2 linked regions of the Notamacropus eugenii genome follow. The protein of the gene in region 1 interacts with the protein of each later gene in a pairwise test. Links are inferred from orthologs where the notes say so. Each region holds a gene or a part of one and is shown in the gene's direction. Other genes may lie near its edges.

Evidence for each region. The genes of interacting proteins can lie anywhere in the genome.
Region 2: the proteins of USP2 (region 1) and LHX4 interact in binary tests that used the Homo sapiens proteins (3 or more experiments, as listed by UniProt). The two-hybrid records come from large-scale screens. The link is inferred for Notamacropus eugenii from reciprocal best matches to the Homo sapiens genes USP2 and LHX4.

The regions. Positions count from the first base shown.
Region 1 is NC_092876.1:279,334,593-279,341,842, forward strand, and holds the start of USP2 (ubiquitin carboxyl-terminal hydrolase 2), read left to right. Parts: upstream 1-4,230; 5' UTR 4,231-4,443; intron 4,444-5,301; exon of another isoform or gene 5,302-5,495; intron 5,496-7,250. UniProt on the Homo sapiens protein: Hydrolase that deubiquitinates polyubiquitinated target proteins such as MDM2, MDM4 and CCND1. Isoform 1 and isoform 4 possess both ubiquitin-specific peptidase and isopeptidase activities.
Region 2 is NC_092873.1:465,382,665-465,390,038, reverse strand, and holds the start of LHX4 (LIM/homeobox protein Lhx4), read left to right. Parts: upstream 1-4,360; 5' UTR 4,361-4,504; coding exon 4,505-4,580; intron 4,581-7,374. UniProt on the Homo sapiens protein: May play a critical role in the development of respiratory control mechanisms and in the normal growth and maturation of the lung. Binds preferentially to methylated DNA.

The DNA.
Region 1 (7,250 bases):
TATAGTCTTAACCAAACAAGAGTTAGAGGCAATTACAAAAGATAAAACAGACAAGTTTGATTACCTGAAACTGAAAAACTCTGTTCAGACAGCATTAATGCATCTCAATAAGAAGGGAAGTGATCAGTAGGGAAAACTTTGTATCAAATTTCTCTGATAAAGGTTTGTATCCAAAACATATAAAATATTATCTACACGTACAATACATACATATATACATATATGTATATATGTATATATATACATATATGTGTGAATGACTAATAGCTTGTTCCCAAATAGATAAATGGTCAGAGGATATGAACAAATTTCAAAAGAACCACCAAGTATTCACAACCATATGAAAAAGTATATCAGATCACTAATAGAGAAATGCACATCAAAATAACCATGAGGTTTCACTTCAAAACAAATTTACCAATTTGCAAAAAATGACTTTTTTAACAATGTCAATAGTCAGTGTTGGAGACCTTATGGAAAGGCAGGCATGCTAATATTTTATTGGTGGAGCTGTGAAATGGTACAACCATTTTGGAAAGAAAGTTGGAATCATGCAAACAAAGTGACTAAAATGTCCATACCCTTGGAACCAGAGACTCCATTACATGGTTTATATCATAAATAAGTTATCAACAAGAAAAAAAGTCCCTATATGTGCCAAAATATTTATGGCAACATTTTTTTTTGTAATAACTAAGAATTGGAAACAAAGTAGATGCCCATCAACTGGAGAATGGCTAAACAAATTGTGGTTCATGAATGTAATGAAATACATGTAGTTGTTCTTCAGTTGTTTTAGTTGTATCCAACTCTTCATGACCCCATTTTGGACAAAGATACTGGAGTGGTTTGCCATTTTCTTCTCCAATTCATTTTACCCATAAGGAAACAGGGGCAGCCAGGGTTGAGTGACTTGCCCAGGGTCATAGTAAGTGTCTGAGGCCATATTTGAACTCATGAAGACTCTTCCTGACTTCAGGCCCAGCATTCTATCCACTGAGCCACCTAGTTGCACATAATAGAATACTATGGTGCTGTGAGAAATGATATGTGTGTGAGGAATACAGAGAAGCATGGAAAGATCTATATGAACTGATCCAGAGTGAAGTAAGCAGAGCCAAGAAAACCACAAACACATTAACTACAATAATGTAAATGGAAAGAATAAAATCAAAAGTAAAAATGAACAAAATTATGAAGTCCAAATAGAACTTGAATGAAAAGATATGAGAAAATAGTCCCAAACCATCCACAGGTGTTACAAACTGCATTATTTTTAAGACTTTTTCAAGTACCAATCAACTGTGCTGAGTTTTACCCCTCTCTCTAAAAAATACTATTAACAAGTATGCTGAGTTTTTCCCCTCTCTCTAAAATATACCATTAATTATATAAAATAGCTCATAGGGAAGGGAAGGGGAGGAATACGTGGAATTCTGTGGTGATTGAAAAAAATAAAATAAGAATAAAAATTTATTTTAAAAATATTTTTTAAGAAGATCGGAACTCTAACTCTGTTTCCTTTCATTATACCATGTGGCCCCAACCCTGAATCAGAATTAATTTTTCCTCCCTCCTACCAAGAGATATGCTTGTAAAAGTTTAACAACTATCACGCCAGGAAAAAAAAAATGTACATACAATACACTTTTAAATTTAATCTACATTAACATTTTCTTTATCACTTCTTTACTATAAAATTAATAAAACAATAAATCAAGCCTTAATTTGTAGGGTTTGCTGCTTTTCGAGGTGTAAATGCTCACATTGAAAATTTAATAATCTGTTCTCTAGAGCTGGTGGGAGATGACTCCAGCACACCCCTGCCTCCCATCCAGAAGTTCCCATTTTGTATTCTCTAATAATAGCTGTCATTCAAAGATCAATTGAAAAAATTAAATATTTAGTATGGAAATGGCAAGACTTAAAACAGGAATGATCACTAGTTTCAATTATTTAAAAGGCTGTCATAGGGAAAGAGAAAGTATACTAACTGCAGAGGGTAGAACTTACAGATATGTGTGGAAATTATAGAGAGACAAATTTGAGCCCACCTTTTTTTGGGAAGAAGCTTCCAACAATTAGAGCAGACCAAGCATAGATAACATGGCTCAAGATAGTGAACTCCCTGGCATTTGAAGTATTCAAGAAAAACCAGAGAGGTCAATTACCTCTCCCACATTCCTTACAGGGAATTCCTATGGTTGGTCTGGAAATTGAAATGATGACCTAGAATTTAAGATTCTAGTCCATGAGTCAAGGATTTATTAAGTGTGTCCAGCACTGTGCTAAGAATTCTAGGATTCTATCTACCCTGGGTGACTTGTAACTTAATCCACTCAGTTCTCCAATGCTGTCCTAGTTGATACATCAGCCAGTAGGGAAGCACATGGTCCATTTTACCTGTTGAGACTTATAACCCAAATCATTCTTCACATTCCGTTGGATTTTTTCTCCCATCCACCGCTCTTCTTGCAACGAATCCTACAATACCACTGCATATAGAACTATACTCCCTCCTACTTCTTGTTTTGGGATCAATAATCAAATCTGCACTCTCCAACCATCTCATGGACCCATAACTAGCTTGAGATACAACTTCTATCCTGGTGGGGGGAGGGATTAAAGGGAGGGAGGTCAAAGGTCCTAATTAATAGCTCTACCATTTTTTCTAGAAATCCCCAACTGTATTTCACTTCATTCCTTACTGTCTAGACAGTTTCTCCATAACTTCCCCAACTGCCTAGCTGCCTCATACCATTTTTCCTTCTCACTCTCTCCAGTGCTGAAAGCACAAATCATGATTAAATCAGTTCTATCATTTGTTCCTGCAAGAGTATATGGCCCCATTCAAGATGCCTGTAATTAAAATGTTCCTCCCTGCCCACCACTCTGCTGTATATTTGCTCTCGCCTTTTAGAATGTAAGCCTGGCATTTTGCAGGAGACATCTGGTCCATCCCAGCCTGCCTACTCAATGATCCTTTAAACTGTCCTTTTACAGTGACTCTCCAACCCAGATTTTATCTGCACCTGGCCCACCCCAGGCATTCACCACTCCTTAATTGATCCATATCTTCTCACTGTCTTTTCTCATATACAAGTAACAATCTTACCCTCACTACTACATTGCTCAGACTCACTTAGAATCTAGCTGGCTTCTATTGGCCTCACAAATAAACCTTGCTACTTAGAATGAAAGAAGGATTGAGTGGTCAAATTCTTTCAAGGCAGACCCCCTGAATCCTTCATTTCCAGGTTCCCAGCAAGCCAAACCACATCATAATGTGTCAAGGCAAGCCAATTGATTCTTCTATTGGTTCCACATTCCTATGTCCTCTCAAACTAAAAAATCCTTCCTGGAACACCATTAACATATTTGCTATCCCCCCTAATTAGAATATAAGCTCCTGGAGGACAGAGACTGTCTTACTTTGCATTTTGTTCCCAAAACGCTAACACCAAGCAAGCCCATAATGATTCTTTCATTCAAAGCCGTTAGAAAATGCTGAATGAATGATGAAAACATAAATATCCAAATTCCTGGTTTCTGCCCCAGTCTTTTCCCATACAACTCCTGTTAACTGAGCTCCTCTCACAGACTCCCTGCCTCATTTTTCTGAGCACTCTCAAATGAACCCATTTCTATTACCCCGGTGGGGAGCAGTTTGGAGCCTTTCAGAAGCGAGAAGTGGAGGGCCGAGCTGAAGGGGAATGAGAGATCTTCCGACTGAGTGGAAAGTAACAGCGAAGGTTGTTGGGAGGCTGATGTATTTATTGCTAATGAGATGAATGACCTGAATCCATTCCAGGAAGCTTAGAGCTAGTCGGGTGGATGCTGATTGGACCACTGAACGCGAGGTTGGTTGCTGTAGCAATCTGCACCCGGGAGAATATTGGTCAAAAACTCAGATTTCACGGTTGCTCCCCCCCAAATAATTTGCAGAACGGGAGGGTTGGACTACATGGTCTTTAAGTTCATTTCTGACTCTAAATCATAACTCCTATGGATCCTCTTGCTCCTACACCTTTGCAACACTCTCTTCCTTTTCCTCCAGTCTCCACCCCCTTTCGCCCCGCGTGCTTCTCTTCCACGTGGCTCTGTTTACATCAGTTGCCTGGGAAACTCAGGCTGGGAGGAGCTCCATCAAGTCACAATAGTAAAGAGCCAATGGGTGCTCCACGTCTCAGTGACGCAAGGACGCACAGGGCGTGGCTAGGCCGTCCTGGAATGCCGTATGGCGATTCCCCGCTGGGTGGCGCTGTTCTCCCGGGGAGGTCTTCATTGGGGCCCCTGGCGGAGGTGGGGAGAGGCGGGCAGGAGCCGGGGCCAAGGAGCCCTCTGCGTCAGCTGTTGCTCACTGCGCCGCGCCAGTGTCAGGCGGGACTTACCCGCAGCTCCATGCCTGTTTTCGGCTTGGCACATCCACCCTTAGAGAACCAGGTAGGTGCCACCTGTTCGGGATTGGGGCAGAGGGAGGATAAGGAGCGACCTCCGCTGGGGCAATGCCCGGGGTGCCCCCGGAGCCAGAGCGGACCCCGGGGACGTGGGGGTGGGCACCCTGCGGGGCCAGGGCTCAGGCTCGGACACTCGTGGGGGGAGTGTCCGCCGTGCCAAGGCCGGCTCCTGCTCTGGGTACCAGCCCGGAGTACTGCTGCTTTGCCGTGCCCGGAACCAGGCTGCCCTGGGTGGCGTGTGCCTGGGTATATTTCGGAGGAGCGGGACGTGTGGTGTGTTGTAGCCTATTGTGACAAGAAGGTTGTGTGCCGCTCATTTACTGCCCCCCTGGAGGGTTTTCTGGGGGGGAGGGGGAGGGGAGGAGGAGGCGAGAGAAGAGAGGAGAGAGAGAAGAGACAGACAGACAGACGAGCTAGTGTGGTCTGACTGTCAGCCGGGGGAAGGCAGCAGTTCAGTAGTGGAGGAGAACTGCTGCCAATCTCAGACCGGAGGAGGTATCTTTATAACCGCCCCCTCCCCCCCCATCATCTAAAGCAGCAACTTAAACTTTACGTTAATAGTTATTCACGTTTTTATAGTGCTTTAAGGTTTGTGCTTTCCCATATTACTCTTCCCCACCTCGAATAGGACTGAGCATCCCCACTTCCACCTTGCTTTAGGTTTAAGGATGAGAGAGCTGGATCTCACTGGTACAGAGCTGAGACTGAGGATGGGGAGAAAAACTAGGAAACGACCCATTGCCTAGATTATACTGAGGCTTACAGAGTTGTGGGAGACCAAGGAAAGCTTGGAGAGGGATCAGGTGATTGGAAGTGCTGAAACTCAGCCCCTTTGATGCTGTAGACTCATGCCCCCTTGGGGTCAGGGAATGAGGACTGGAATGAGGACCTGAGTGCATCATCAGGACCCAGTGCTGAGTCAGTGGCATCAACTGGGACAGGGTGGAGACAGGTGCCTTGAGACACCTACACAAAGGTGGGCTACGACAAGGACTGTGAAACTCTTGGAGAGCAAGATGAAAAAAAAGGCCTAGAAAGGTGAGAAATGCCATTTTTTCCCCTCTATATCTAGTATAAAGGCAGAGCCCTATGAAATGGATCCATCAAGAGTAGGACTCAGTTGGGTATTTGCCTAGGCACCAGTGGGACCTTGTACTTTTCTCACTTTTTTAAGCCTAAAGGAAACAGCAGTGGTCTGAAACGCCTGGACAAACACTTGATGTCTCCTTGACTAAGGCATCCTGGGAATTTGTTCAGCCTACTTTGTATACCACAATGGTGGTGGGACCAATCCTGCCCTGGTTATGAGAGCCAAGGGATTTATACGTAGACATATAAAAGAAAGCTTTGGAGTTGCTTTTTAACTTTAGAAGCAAGCATGGCACTTAGGGTTGACAGACAGGACTCTTTTTTTTTTCTACCTAGAAACATGTAACCTCCAGATAATTTCAGTCCTATGCTTCCTTTCACCCCAAGCTACAACCAGTGCACTCTGCCACCTTTTCTCTTTCCCTTTCTTTTCATTGAATCCCTTTTTGTGCTGCTTCTTACTGTATCCTTCCCTGAGTTCTTTTAAAGTCACCCTTCTGTCTAGTACCTACTCATTAGGGACAGTACCCTCCCCCACCTTAGGTGGGCATAACACTGCCCCTTTAAGTCTCTCTGGATCCTGGAATGTGAGTGAATTGCTGTAGCCATCCCTCTGAGGTCAGATAAGATACTATATATATCAGAGCCAGTAACCTGAGCTCCGGATTACCCAGCCTGGAGTCGGGCTTCACTCCTCCACCTTCCACTCCATCCCATGCCCCGCTGGGGAAGGAGAGGCCCCCAGAGTCCCGATCAATCCTTTTCCCCTGGACACAGGTCAGTGACTGCCCCCACTATGCATCTAAACATACATAGGTGCTGCTGCCTGGTGCCTGCCCTTCTAGTAGGTCTGGGGGAGTTGGGGCAGGGAGGGGGTGGTGGGTATAGATGACAGATGATTATCTTATCTATCCAGCCAGGTCTAGTGCTGTGAACCAGGCCAAGACCTTAGGAGATGGAGAGCAAAGGAGATACAAGATCTGGCCAAGGAATGGAAAGAACCGGCTACGCAATAGACTTAGGGGACCTCTTCCTAAGGGTTTTCCATATTGCCTAAAATGTCCAGAACACTATTGTATGTTCATGGTAGTAGTGAAGCAAGTTTGGGAGCATTGAGGCAATGATTTGGGAGCACTAGCACCATTTTTGCTTTCTCTGGAAAATATAAAGATATGCTTCCCAACTAAGACACTACCGTGGACCCACATATGTACCTTCTTTTTCAATTATTCATTGTTAAAGCTTTAATCTGATCTCTGGGTCCTACTTCCTTACCTTCCCCACCAGGCTCCTAAGAAACTTGTAGGAAACATTAAGGGGGTTTCATTTTTCTGACTGATTGCCACCACCCCTAAAGGAGTCAGAGTTTGTTAATCATATGAGGGATAATGTGCTCACCCCTGATAGATATGCTTGCTAAAAGAAGGCTGAGAACAGGCTCAGGTTAGGGGAGGAGGTCTGAGAATAAACAGAGCCCTTGACCAATGAAAATATCAACTATACCATCCCCCCTCTCCTCTCTACCTGTGCTCCTTTTTCTGTCAGAACACCCCCAGATCTGATCTGCCTTGGACTGGCACTCATGCCTTAGTGCTTTCCTGCTTTCCCCAAAGAGATGAGCACAGTAGTTTGGGCCCCTTTCTTGCCCCCCACCCCACCTACCTTCCATAGAAGGCACTTTAGTCTGACCACATTCCAATCCCG
Region 2 (7,374 bases), on another chromosome or scaffold:
CTTTTCAGAATCATATTTTTAAATGAGTAGAAAAAAGTAAATAGGACTCCAAAGGAGACTAATTATACTGAAACCTTTATCAAAATATCAAAAAGATTTTTAAAAGCCCTGCAGTAAATCATGTTGGGTCTTAAGAAGCTTAAGATCAAATGAGGAGGGAATAGGTATTTATTTATTACTTACTATACCAAGCACTGTGCTAAGTACTTTTCACAAATATTATCTTATTTGCTCCTCACAACAGTCCTGAGAGATAGGTGCTATTATAACTTCCATTTTACAGATGAAGACACTGAAGCAAGGAGAGGTTAAGTGACTTGCCCAGGGTCACACAGTAAGGGGTCTGAGCCTCAGATCTGAACTGAGGTCTTCCTGACTCCAGGCCCAGAACTCTATCCATTGCACCTTTGGTTGCCTCTGGGAAATTATATTAGCAATTGTCTCAAGCTATTTCTTCCATCCTTTCATCCTTTCCTTCCCCGCCACTGCCAATCTATAAAAAAAAAAAAAAAATCAACCTGTTTCCAGAAAAGGATTACAGTAATAGCTTTTTGGGGATAAACTTGAAAATTTTATATAATGGGGTGTTGATATGCACAGTCACTCCCTGTCCTCCCTCTTCTGCTCCCACTATTACAAAGCATCATTGCCTTATAGCGCATTGGAAAGTAAGGAACATTGAGTTTAGAGTCAGAAGAATTAAGCCAACAAAGAGACTGACTGCCTTGGGCAAGTCATTGAACCTCTGTAAAATGGGAATAATAATACCTGTACCACCTACTTCTTTAGGTTGTTCCAAGGCTCAAAAGAAAAATATATGGTAGCCATATAAATGAGAGTTTGTAAGGAAATTAATTTCTATGATTATCTATGGCGGCTGGATGTTAATGGTCTTCTTACATTGTCCTCCAGCCCTGAATGGGTGTGGATAATTTGGGAGATCACAATTAATAACCTAGTTCACTTGCTAAGAGAACAAATCACTGTGGAAGACAGACTTTCAATCTCTAATTGTCAAACTGCCTGCAAAACTATTGGTTTAGTCATTATCCAACTCTTCATAACCCCATTTGGGCTTTGCTTGGTAAGGATACTGAAGTGGTTAGCCATTTCCTTCTCTAGCCTATTTTACAGATGAGGAAACTGAGGCAAACAAGGTAAAGTCACTTGCCCAGGGTCACACAGCTAGTAAGTGTCTGAAACCAGATAGGAACTCACAAAGATGAGTTTTCCTGACTCCAGGCCTGGCTCTCTATGCACTGAGCCACCTAGTTGCATATTTCTTCTCACTGCATCGTCAAAAAATGGGGATAACAGGTGAAGAGTTAAAAAGAAACACTTTCATGTAGTAGATGGGACACTGGGCTTGGAATCTGGAAGACCTGGGATTGAATTTAGTCCTTAGATACTTAATAGCTGTGTGACCCTGTGCAAGTCACTAGCCAGTCTCAAATTCCTCATTTGATAAATAAGAGAGTTGGACTCAGTGGTGTCTGAGGTCACTTTCATCTCCAAATCTATGGAAATCCCACCAGAGCAAAGACTGTAGAAATTATTATAATAAAAAGTGAAAATAACAACTAATAATCTCTTTCTTAAAGTCAATGATGCTAGCCTACCATCAGATGCTTGAGCTCATGACACAGGCAAAGGTCGACAAAGGGATCCTGGCCGCATTAGTTGTGTGGTTTGTTTTTACGTTCAAGTTGGTCCAGGTAAATATTAGGTGCCTCCCTCAGACTAGTCTGAAAAAGATGACAGAATTAGTCTGTAGGAGGCGCCTTTCCAGGGCTGTCCCTCGCCATGGGAGGTCTACGTAAAGGAAGCCGCAGGGAGGCATTCTTTGATGCTAGAATAGGGTAAAGGATAAGAGACAAGATTTAGGGTCAGTGCGTGTGTTTTGTTTACTCAGGTGAAATACCTGGTGAAAGGGCTGCCCCAGGCGAACCTCAGGCAAACTCAGAGGGTGTGGCCGGCAGCTTCTTTCAAGCGCTGGTGATGATTTTTTCGCTTACAGAGTAGGAAATTTACCTTGGATTCAAAGACGTTTAACTGCCTACATCACTGCTGCCATCAAGCCTGGAGAGAGACAAGGGCAGAAGTTCTTAACCACGGATCCAGGGACTTGGTTTTTCTTTCTTAAAAAATTTCGGTGTAACTTGTTTCCTTTATAAATCTTTTATTTTCTGTATTTAACAAACTTCTGAGTAACAGTCCGTAGGCTTCACCAGACTGACTAAAAGGTTAAGAATTCCTGCTCTCGGGGTGAGGATTCGGGGGTTTGGACAGAAAACGAAGTGGGAGGTCTCACCTCCCTTTTTAGTTGGTCGTGGGCAGTCGCGTGCGGGTGGCGAAGTGGCAGAGAGGACTGGATCCACTAGGGCTTTAAGGGACGCCCCAGCTTGGACCCTTTGGCCAAATGGGATTGAAGTTCACGGAACGCAGGCATCTGGAAGAACCTGGTCCCTGGTCAGCTCCCAGAGCCCTAGGTGAAACTCCCGTCACCCTTCAGCTAGGATCCTAGCCATGTAGGGACTGACCACTGAACAGACCGAAAGAGAGCTTTGGGGAGTATTGTGTTAGAATCAGCCCTCGCCGAGTGATAGCGCATTTTACATCGATTTCAGGGCACTAGATGAAGTATCTTCGATTGTCTCGTCATGATATTAGAGTAGAATTAATTATGTTGCGTCGCGTTTTATCTTATTTACTTTCCGAATCCGCCTTATGAGGAATCTGTTTTTAATGTGTTAGTGTATATACGGTAAGTAAAAATAGAAATCCATGTGCTTATCAATATGATCGTTTTTCCTTTACAATTTTTTAGCTGGACGTATTTGTACGTAGATTTGTGTTATACCCAGAGGCAGAAACACACATGAAAGAACACTCATTTTTAAACCCTTGTTCGAGTTCCACTTTACAAAGTAAGCAGCTGCGATTCTCAGATACAAAAGGAAAAGAAAAAGATAGACGTGTTCCCGTCCGGAGAAAGGAGGGGAAACCAGGCTGGGATAGGAGAGGGTAGACGGGAGAGAAGGCGGGGGCGGGGCAGCCCAAAGCGAGTCCAGTGGTCCGCGGAGGGGAAGGCGCACGGTCCGGAGCTGCTGGTGGGAGGCAGATTGCGGCAGGCCCAAGACTATCTACCTCCTTTTAAATCGTGGGAGGGGTGTGTATAGGAGGAAAGGGTAGGAACAGGACCTTACCTTCCTCGTCCCACCCTGTCCCCAAGGACCCACAGTCTCTAGCTGCCATTCTCCAAGACCCGGCCGTCACCAGACAGCTCGACTGCCAACGGCGTGACTACGGCGTTCTGAGCCTGGCACCCTCCGCTGGGTCCCTGGGCCAGCCGCAGCCAGACCCCAGACAGGAAGGAAGAAACGACGAGACGCAGAGAATATCTAGGTCTGGGGATGGGGAACCACTGGGAAATGAATGGACCAAGAGGAAGGGGGCAAGAAGTGAAGGATGGACAATGCGAAATCCCTTCCGAGCAGGCTCCCGCAGGGATGTGGGTGAAAGAAAGGCCATCGTCGGGATGCTGGGCCAAACTGATCACTTTATAGAAAGGGCTTCCCAGTCTCTTCTCAAAGAAATGGAGGGGACCATAGATTGGTCTACCTGGGCACATAAATCTGGGGGTCCCTCGCAACCAACCAACCCTTCCCTTCTGGCTTCCTTCAGCCGCTAGGACCAAAAAACTCCAACCCAATCCAATAAAATAAAAACTATCTTCCATTTCTGAAACACCTGATGCCGCAGCAGCGAGGACTGCAATATTTATAGAACAAGGCTTGGGCCGGGAACCCAGGCCGGACCTGGGGGGCGGGGTTCCCAGGGAGCATTCCAGAGAAGCCCTCCGAGGCCCCACCTCTCCAAGCCCCAGAGGCCCCTCCCTAGCCCGAGCCCCAGCCTCGGCCTGGTTTACCTGGGTCCCTTTGGACGTTCCTTCTCGGCCTCAGGTTGCCCACATGATGTAAGGGGATTGGCTGAAGGGCGGGGCCTCCCTGCGGAAATCTACGTCACGCCGGCTCCTGCAGTGTGAATGAATCAAAACTGCCTCTAGGGACCAGCAGCTGAGCTGGGAAAAGGGGGGGGGGGGGGGGGCGGGAGATGGAGGGAGTGGAGAAGGAGCAGGGGGGAGGGAGAGAGGAAGGGGGAAGAAGGAGGAGGGAGGAAAGAAGAAGGAGGGGGAGGGAAAAAAAGAGCCAGAGCTGCAGCAACAGCGTCGCCTTAACCCGGGATACACACTAACCCGGAGAGCAGGATCAAAGGGATTTGAAACAGTCTAAAGGGTGGAAGGGGGGGTAGGGGGGAGTGCCAGTCTACAAGTCCTTCTGGAGGGGTGAAGAGACCGGCTTTCGATTGTGACTTTGCTTATTTCGTTTGGGGTTTATCTTTTCTTTTCTTTTTTTTAATTTTGAAATTTCTGAATCTAGTCAGAGAGAAAGAGTGAGAGGGGAGGGAGATTTCCATAGACAGCTATTTCCCATCTCTGCCCAAGATGATGCAGAGCTCGACCGTCACCACGGAAGGGTCTGTCAAGGGGCTCCCGGACATCCTCGGTGTACCGATGCAACGTAAGACAACCCCCCCTTTTCTCCCCTCATTGATTTAATAATAAAGAAAGCTGGCAGCCTCGGAGGCTGCATGGTGCAGGGAGGGTAACGAGCAGCCACGGTTATGAGAGGAGCTTGGGATGGAGGGATCCGGGTGGGAGCTAAGGATTGGGGAAGGTTGAGGCAGAATGGAGAGAGGGAGGAGTCTGGGGATGACATTACGGAGGGGAAGTGGCAGATGGGGGAAAGTGGGGTGAGGGGTCCGGCTTTGGGAGCTAGAGGCCAAACAAGAAAGCTCTGTCCTTGGTCTGAGCTGGGGACAGGCGGTGGAATCCCAGCTAGCTCGCAGTTTTTCAGAGGCCAGTGGAGAAGGTGCTGTTTGGGGATACCTGGGGAGGGAGAGCCAAACAAGGCCAAGGGTGGTGGGGGGGGGGCGGAGAATGCCTTCGCCTTGTATCTCCCCCAAAGAGGCGAGATGCGGAGCTCGAAGGAGCCAGTTTGTGCAACTTCACCCCGACTGGCGAGAAGTTGGAAGACTTCCTTCTTCCCCTCCTCCCAGCGCAACTCCCAAGAGGTTCCTGTGGCCCTCTGGGGAGGCCGGGAGCTGACCCCAGGAAGGGTCCCAGGAAAGGGGCTGGGAACAGAAGGAGATCTCTCTCAGGCTGTTTGGCTGCGATGCCTGCAGCCTGAGCCGCTGGAGACTCCTCAGCGTTAGGGAATCTGTCAGTCACATTCCTACCCACCAAGGAATGCTGGGGAGGGAGAGTCTGAAGCGTGAAGTTGCGAGTTAGGGCTTCTGCCTGCGAGCACAGGAACGTTACATCTAGGTAGATCTCGTAGGATTTGATCTGAAAGGGACCTTAAACACCGTCTAGTCCAACCTACTCATTTTACAGATGAAGAAACTGAGTCCAAGAGAAGCGGAGTGCTTTGTCCAAGGTTACAGAAGTATTAAGTGGCCGAGCCAAAATTCAAATCCAGGTCTCCTGATTCTATACAGTTCTTTTCCTACCGGACCAAGCTTTGAGAGAGAGGTCGCACAGGGATATATAAATTTGTTTTTACGATTAACTTGATTCAGTCTATGTTTCTTATGCTCTGGAGCTCTGTATTTATCTGCGCCGGTATTCAAAAGTGTACACGTAATGTGGTACCGGGTGCTGACACTCCGACATCTAAAGTGCCTGGACCGGTAATGGGGGCTCTGTAACTGTGCGCCCGGGCGAAGCTGGCTTCCCTCTGCCACGTTTTGTTGATGCAGTACAAACGTTCTCTAGGTGAGGTTCACACACAGGTCGCTTACACGTCTGTGCAGAGACAAATGGCTTCTCTCGCTACAGAACTGTGCTTATGCCCGCGAGATATATATATCAATGTCGTCTACTCTCTGGCGGTTTATTTTAGCTAAGGACCAACCAGCCAACCGACCTGTCTTCTTTTACCTGCCACTCAGGACTTGCACCTGCTAAGCGTAACCTCTTTGGGTCTGGTTTGGGTTTCTGCACCCTGGAGAGTTAGCTTGAGGGCACACTTTGCCAGTGAGGCAGTCTGCTTTTCCCTCTTCCTCCTGAGTTTTTGAAGAGTAGGGGTAGAGGACCCTGGCGTTGAAAGAAAGAGAGAAAGAAAGAGAAAGAAGAAATCACTATTCCCTTATTATTCTTTTCCTGCTGATGGCAGTTATTGGTCTTCCTTCTAGTAGGCACCTATCTGCAAACACCTCTTCTGTCACACCTTTAGGAGTTTGCTTTTGGCTAGAAGTATGTATGTTGAAATTGCCACCTTTCTTTTTCTTTCTTTCTTTCTCTCTTTCTTTCTTTCTTTCTTTCTTTCTTTCTTTCTTTCTTTCTCTCTCTCTCTCTCTCTCTCTCTCTCTCTCTCTCTCTCTCTCTCTCTCTCTCTCTCTCTCTTCCTTCCTTCCTTCCTTTCTCCCCCCCATCCTTCTGCTTCTTCCTCAGCCCCTCCCCCACCCATATATTTCCTATCTCCTTCACTCTCCCTCCAAGTGTTTGGAGTTGGAACTCTCACGATTTCTCAGCATGTGAGTGTGTTTGGGAAGGGGACAGTTTGTCCTTCCCGACTGTGTTTTAGTGCGTATGTTCTCCGCTGGTGTGCTTGTGTGCGTGTGTATGGTGATGATGGTGGTGGCAGTGGTGACGGTGGCTGGGGGAATAGTTGTCGTGTTGTGTCCACGAGTTGTGTATGCTTGAACGTGTCTGGATTTCGTGTATTTTCAGATACTCAGTAAGTTTCCTCTCTCAGTCCACTGTCCGAGAATTCCTGCTGTTTTGGGATTCTGGTCACCTAAAGCTCCCGGAACGCACTATGAGATACTAACTTCGATTCCCATGTTGTTTAAAGGTGGGAAGTCAGCATGGGTGGAGGCAATAAGAAGCCAGAGGGAAAGGAACTTCTGCCTTCACACATTCGAGGCTCAATTGCCGGGGGGCTACTAGACCAAAGAAGGCTGATTTATCTAATATCTGTCTGTCGGTCAGCCTGTCTGTACCGCTTTTACTGTTTGTCCTTAGTGACAAGGAGGGAGTCCTGGTTGCTCCTTCCCTCAGTTTCAGCTCCCCTATAGATAAAGCTTTGGGTCTTCATCTAGTCTCTCATTTCAGCTTTGTAGCTCTCAGTCAGAAGGGGATGGGAGGGGAAAGGGAAAGGGAAAGGTCAGGACGTGCCGAAACGGATCATTTAGGACCTCATATGTCAGGTTTTTTCTTCCCTCTGCACCCCTATCCTCACATTTCCTTTCCCCTGGGTGACACCGTTAACTCATAGCGTGGTTTGTACGGGGAGGGAGAGGAGAGGGAGA